Lepisosteus oculatus: one gene and its partner. The protein of the gene in region 1 interacts with the protein of each later gene in a biochemical or structural test. Links are inferred from orthologs where the notes say so. Each region holds a gene or a part of one and is shown on either strand. Other genes may lie near its edges.

Evidence for each region.
Region 2: the proteins of pdzd2 (region 1) and ctnnd2a form a complex in vitro, tested with the Homo sapiens proteins (2 studies listed by BioGRID and IntAct, with this or other methods). The link is inferred for Lepisosteus oculatus from reciprocal best matches to the Homo sapiens genes PDZD2 and CTNND2.

Annotation. Positions count from the first base shown.
Region 1 is NC_090698.1:39,803,048-39,806,803, reverse strand, and holds the start of pdzd2 (PDZ domain-containing protein 2), read left to right. Parts: upstream 1-827; 5' UTR 828-1,636; intron 1,637-3,756.
Region 2 is NC_090701.1:1,140,316-1,144,071, forward strand, and holds the start of ctnnd2a (catenin delta-2), read right to left. Parts: upstream 2,347-3,756; 5' UTR 1,873-2,346; intron 1-1,872. UniProt on the Homo sapiens protein: Has a critical role in neuronal development, particularly in the formation and/or maintenance of dendritic spines and synapses. Involved in the regulation of Wnt signaling.

The sequences.
Region 1 (3,756 bases):
CGTTCAGATGTCTGCGTAGCTCTCCTGCAGCATTCCTGGGGTTTCCCTGTTCAGCGTTTTGAGCCCTCTCCTCAGATCAAGACTGCTTCTGAAAGGTTCACCTTCGTTCAGCTTACTAACACACTGAAAAAAGATGCGATCTCAAAAACCAAAATACAAGGATAAATTCCAAAAAGCACTTTTATAAAGCCTTAAGAATGCAGTGTACATCAGGGATGATTTGTTATTAATTGATAGCATACTACATTCATGTACTGTACATATACTCTTTCTTCCATTCATCCGGAAATATTCAAAAGATTATGCTTATTCGGAATCTATATCGGAACCCCGTGTTCACATGAAAACAACTTTTGATTGATGATTTGCACTCAGACATTTGGCTTCCAATAATAACGTTTGTGAGAGACATACTGTATATTGTTTGTATAACAATATCCCTACGATTCAGAGCTTTAATTCAAAATCTCGAACAGCTTTGAGACGCTGGATTCTCAATCAAGCACAAACGCATCTGCCACTTGTACTAGAATACAACAACTGCGAAGTTAATCAGATACATTCCTGATGTTTAAATCAGGGTGAATAAAACACTAAGCCCTCTATAACACAACTCTCATTATATTCAGCTACAACATTTTATAATGTTAACTTTCTTGTGTGTTTTTTTCTTTTTTCTCACATCCTATTGGCTTTGAGGACTTGTATCATCACTGCCTTCTTTTTAATATCGATTGCCGATTGGTCACAATTGTCATAAATCAAAAGTGAAGACTCCTCCCAAATCTAACAGCGCTGCTAGATTTAGAAGAGGAAAACTGGTGCGCCTAACTTCTGTCAGGAATAGAAGAGCTTCTTTGAAAATGACTAGATTCGGAGTTTTTCCCCCCGTTTTTCTTCTCTAACGAAGCCGCACTTGGAAGCAAAGTACTGAAATTCAAGCCATAGTGTCCAGGTGATTAGCGATTGGTCTGAATCTCGAAATAGAAGATTTAAACCTCTTGAAGGGCAGTAGTTTGTTCATTCTTGCACCGTAAAATTAGTTTTTTGATCAGAAAAGTAGTGGGCATGTGTTTTTCCACTCGATATTTCTTTTACATTTTAAAGTTAAATAGCAGAGTAAGAATTTAGAAAGTGAAGGAAGCAACAGTTCTTTATTCAAACCCTGAAATAAAGTACTTCTGGGGATAATTATCCTATCTCTGTATCAATCGCATTGTTTGATCTCAGTGCTTTAGTTTCAATGAAGTGGGGAAAATGTACTGTACATACAATGATATGTATATAATTTGTGTGCAAAAACACACAAAACCCTTTCCAGGAATGTTTTGTTCAGATCTTCACATTATTATTCATCGGAGAGAACAAAGAAGCATGTCAATTTAATAATACAAAACTGTCCTGAACCTGGGAAACAACTTTTCTTGAAAAGAAAATAATTTAGCAGCCACAGTGGATTATCGTCCTGGATTGCTTCGGGGGATGTCAGGGAACGTCTACATAGAAGGAATAAATCATTTCCGAATGGAATATAGAAATGATGCAGTAATATATAACCCTGATGACTAGGTGGTCTGCTTTGTCGACCCAGATTATCAATGGGGAAAATACAAATAGCATCCAGCACATGCTAAAGGTAAGTCAGCTACTCTTAAAATACTAGCAAATTATATATACTAGATCCTTTAGAAAACAATAACCTAAATGTTTCTATAGAAATATCAAATTTCTGTAGAAGGTCTGGCGTAGTTTTGTTTCGGTAAGGGACATCCAAGAAAGGAGACTGCTAATTTCCTACATCAAAGTAGAATTAAACAGAATGATTTGTTCAGATTAAGTTGAAATCCCATATTACATACAGAATAATATTCTTGTAGTATTCGGGGTATTTGACATTTTAAACAAAGTTCGAGATAAGAGTAGCATTCATTGTTCGAGCGTTCGATCTTTGTTTAACAATGTAACAACATGTACTGTATAAACGTAAGCAGTTGAGACTACCGTTTGGGTGGTAATTGGTGACAGATGTACAGATGATAATTTAACAGTTCAGATTCTGAGCTTAAAATATCAAAACCATTGCGGCTTTAGGTGGTGCTTCCGACTATTTAAAACATTTTCAATAGCAACTCCTTTCCTTTGAATCAATTTTACCAGCTGTCTAATAATTCTAAATAGTCCTCGTTTTTTGTTAGAAAATACCCCCTCACGCAGTCATAAACCAATTGCATTAGATCACAGCTCCAGAAAAGTTTATTGGAAAAACGTTTTAATATATCCTGTGAACTCCATATGGTTATGACACACTGAAGAGGTGGCATTTCTTTCCATTTTCTCGGTACTGGGTAACATTCAACATTTTCTTTTTTTAGATCGGTTTCGAAAAGACTGTTCAAAACCATTTTTTGACACTTAGACAGTTAACTGAATTTTCATGCTTTCGTTTTGTGGAAAACTGTGAATGCAAATAGATACGAGCACAATTCTCCAGTTATATGGACCACTAACAGTGTTGAGGCGCGTTTCGTTTCCCATCCTAAATCCATTAATATAAAGTTAAAATGAATGGTGAACTGTGGACGGTTGTGCTGTACATGTATTTCGAGTCTTTTCTTTGAAGTACTACATCCAGTGAGAAGTACGTTGCTTATTTAAGTAGGACCTAAACGTAATATTATATTAGATTTGCTAACACCTCGACCAACACACTTCTTTTGGGATATGATAGGACTATGATATGATAGAATTGGCTCTGCAATGCTGAGGAAAACGCATTAAGTATTTCACTACTGTGGTAGTGGATAGGTTAAGTCCCTCAGTACCAAAAGAAGTTTGTTATTCTGCTCCAGATTTCCAGTGTACCAATGGAAAAACTTGACACATGGATACTTTACTGGGCGGAGAAGACTTTTCAGCTTTTGCTAGCATGAGACTGTAAATTAAATGACAAATGTTAAGAGCTAGACAGCTCACTTCCATCATTTCCTTTACCCTTCAACATGCTTTTGGCCCAAACAGATCAAATTAAATATCTGTCCCTACAGGGCCTAAGTCAACACCAGAGCCTTGAGGATGAGGTTGGTACAGTTGGAAAATCAAAGATGAGTCATGGTAGGGTCATACTGGAACATCATAATTGATTAGTTTACTTGACAACTGTTAGATAATGCTTAAACCTTGTATGTTTATATTACATACTCTTTTTAACAATAGAACTCTAAAATGTGTCCAAACCACTAAAATACATTCCCAATTAGTATAATTATATAAAACATAAGCATAAATTCATCCCCAACTGCTTGTTCCTTAAAGGGGTAAATAATTGAAAAAACATACTGTAAAGTAATCTTATCTATTATATATATATTAGATCAGAATTGAGAGGAGGTCTGAAATTACTGTGAGCATGATAGTATAGTTTGTATTTATATGGTCTATTAAGGATAGATAAATACTTTTACATTTCTTATATTTTTAAAAACCTGGAAAGACTTTAAACACGCATCTTTAATAAAATGTCTTACTCAGAGTTTACTATTATTATGTACTGGTCTTATCTCTCTGCACTTTAATATTATGCAAAAGGTGAGGAAGTCCCACAAAATCTGGACATCCTACTATGGACTTGTTATATCCATCCATATTCTAACTGCTTCTTCCAATTCAGGGTCTCAGGGGAGCCGGAGCCCATACAGGCGAGCAGAGGGTACAAGGCAGGGTACACCCTGGACAGGACACCAGTCCATTGCAGGGCAG
Region 2 (3,756 bases), on another chromosome or scaffold:
CGCCTCTGCCAGGCACGTCTCCAGCACTCTGTGTTACAGCCGATCAGCACACATCCAGAGATTCACTGCCATCGCGACTAATACAGGCAAGACGCCCTTGTAAAAACTGACTTAAAAAACCAACCTTTTTTAAAGGCTGGTTCAGGTCCACAAACACTGACACTTGTGGTTAAGCAGCCCTGAGACCCACTCTTTTAGAGGAGCATCTCCCCATATTTCTCTAGGTGATGATATCTGTAAGTCCCCCACATCGTGAAAGGTGTTTTTTTTTTATTATTTTTGCAATCCCGTCTGTAAAGAAGCCAATGTACTGTACAATACCATCAGTTAAAAAAACAATATCTAGAAATCTATCCTTGGACTGAAAATGTCAAGCCTAATTGTTGTTTTATTTAATATACAAATATACTGTATATGATCCAGCCTGTTTCAATGTTTCCAGCAATAATTCGTTTTATTAGAGATTACGGGCGGTCATATTACTTCGCTATTGAAACGCATTTCAAGAGATTGAAACCATAAGAACTACATACTGTATTTTCAGAGAAAGCGCAAAATTTCCAAATACTTTTTTTTACTGAAATTCTTAATACATGCTATGGTGTCAAAATCCCTTTAAACTGGTTATTTCATTCATCCTTTAAATAAACTGTAAACTTCACTTTGAAAAACGTCACTTTGAGGCGTGCAACATTTTGCAGGGAGAATTGACCATGTACTGTATTTCTATATGAAGTGTTTCAAAAATAAATGCAAAGAAAATTTTCGCTTCAAAGTATTTGTTGAAAATAATCGAAACGGGAAATGAACGGTGAACGAAATATTAATATTTTAAATATTTTATGAAGTTCTTTATCTAACTGTCAAAATACCGTGGAACCGTTACAACGAAATATTGCTCCAGATGCAAATCAAGGAATATTATAAATCCTGGAACGGTAGCATTTCTGCCGCTAACCTCAACAGCATATCGTCTGATAATTAATAACTAAAACAACTAATAGACGGATATTTTGTATTTGCTCTAAAAACGATACAACCAACACCAACAAAACATTTTCTATTATATAATAATTGTAATATGGTTGTATTGCAGTAAGGACGTCCATTTGGCATCCGGGAGGTAGATCTACAACATTATCTCACCCACACTTTTAATGCCAATAATTGCGTTACCCTCATGCAGGCAATGTGTTTAATACTGCAATTGTTGTGTATTGTGCGTCTTTGAATACACAGCGACAGAAAAGCAAAACTATGTCCATCTTGAGATAACAAGAAGCAGTGTCTTTATAATACGCCTGCTTCTCCTTACTGGATGGAAAGGCAAAAGCATTTCAGAATGATGGGAGATGCTTCTTTCTCAGTCATTAATTATATAGTTCCCGAATAAACCGCGTTTCCATTCACCTTTATCAAACGACGCTCCTATTTTTAGAAGCCAAGACGCTTTGCTCAGGAACAATAGTCGTTCGTGTTACACAGTAAGGCACTGGCTTATAAAATCCACCATTGATTCGAAATTTAGGTCACTAGGCAGGAAAGTATTAAGCTATCCGCTACACTAAGAAGCCCGACTAGGAGGGCATAGCGACATCAACGGGCTTCTGTTCCAGTCAGCATTCAGACATGTTACCTGTGCTATTTGTGCGACCAAACACGGTTTTCTGAGACAGCTGAACCGTAAAAATGCACGTCAATTCAAAACCCGCAAAAAGGGGAGAAAAATGCTTTCGGATAAGCAGACGCGCGAAAGCTGGCGCTGTTGCGTTTTCTCCATTTCAAAGACAATTGCATCTTGTGGTTTTGTACATCATGCAGGGTTAATGGGGGAGAAGGGAAAAAAAGCCACTGGAATGACATTGCACTTACCAAATATTATCCTTTTTGGAACAGCGCTTCTTCTCGACTCCTCTCCCGCTTTCTTGTCCAAAAATTCAATCAGTGATGGATTGTGCTCTCATACCCTGCCGCGGTGCAGAAATGGACCATTTGCTGGATGCTGGCCGAGACAGGAAGAAGGAGCATCCGCCGAGCGGCGGATCAAAACAGCTGTACGAAAGCGAGACCGGATCACTGCGGTGCGCAGCAGCTACAGAGAGGCAGCATCGCTGGTACTCCGCTCCGGTCTCCACCAACCCGCTCCCAGACACAGCATCTCACCACCGAGCCCACTCTGCGATACCCGCTAGAGCGCACATAGCGCCATCTGCTGGACGCGAACGGAAAGCGTGCCTCCGGCTCCGCTCTCATCCCACGCCTGATGGACAGCGATCCGTCTTAAGGTTCTGGCTCAGTCCTGACCTGTCCGTAGCGCAAACCGAGACCTATCACGGATAATTACTTGTTGTGGGCATTTAGACGGAACCCTCCCCTCGCGCCACAGGGATTTATTTTTTTGTGGCTAGGCAGCTTTCTGTGATTCGCTGGAGTTCGACCTCATCATCTTACAGGTTAAAACGAAGATAAAAAATAATGCGTATTGTTAAGGAAAGCATTTTTAGAATTAACACTGCCCACGAAAGTATATTTGTAATCTGTACACCTCTTGATATCGCCCCAATCTGTAGTTAATTTTCAAGCGTGATGTTGATGTTGTGTTTACATATACACAAAAAAGTAGAATGTCTATACCGTCTAACGCCTGTTTTTAACATGTTTGTACATTAAAATCTTCTACTTTTGATTGCTTAAAAGGCTGGAATTAATACATGCTTACATAAATGTACATTTCAAGGTGACAAGTTAAAACGTTTGTTTGTAGGCCTGTTGTATTATTTGTTTCTCTTTTTAAGACTGAACAACACACAAATGTTTTCTAACCAGCTGAATCAGATTTTACTTTGTTGTTGCTTAGCATACCGACATAGTTGAAGCTAAAACAGCAAACTACAGTATATATTCAGACTGTAAGAAATGTTTAATCACATTTCAAACACACGAGCTACAAATGAATTGTGCAGCTGCTTCTTCGCAGGATTTTTTGATGTGGTTCATTAATGACTCAGGCATATTTACAAAGGTATTCCTAGCAGTTTCATAACACCATTTACTTCCCCCATCTTGTGTTTCAGCTGCCTCTGTTTTAACTCTGTTCCAGTGTTACAAACACCCATCCATGTTCAGGAGTCACTTTATCCTTAAACATGGTCATGGCGAGACAGAGCCTAATCAAGCAAGCACAGGGTGCAAAGCAGGACACACCCTGGACAGGACACCAGTCCATCACAGCATACAAGAGAACTAACCACCCTTAATCAACTCCTACACATTCCAGTGCAGTTTCCAATGAACTAATCAGACACACCTTCTTCCACCTGCCTGCTTAAACCAGCCTGACACACCACTCCTTGCTCAGTATTGGGGTTTACTCAGCTGGAGTTGCATTGTTCCCTGTTTCACAAGATTTCTAAGTTTTTGGCTCTGACCTCTGGCTTTGTTACAATGCAGAAGACCCTAGGGAAAATCCTCTGAACTCAGAAGTACCAGCAGGAGTGTATCCCAAAATGTGGTTCAGGATGTCAGGCCAGGGTAAAAAAACAGTAAATCCACAATAATCAAGTCAAGATCCAGAAGACAAAGTCAGAGACGGAGCCAGGGGTCAGAACTAAAACCTAGAAATCTTGTGAAACAGGGAACAATTCGGTCGTAAAATAGTCATCTTGATACACCATTTGAAACATCATTCTACAGGTGAGCCAGAGCAGATTTAAATGTCTGAAAGTGAAGATGTCTAGAATGTCCTAATCGTGAATG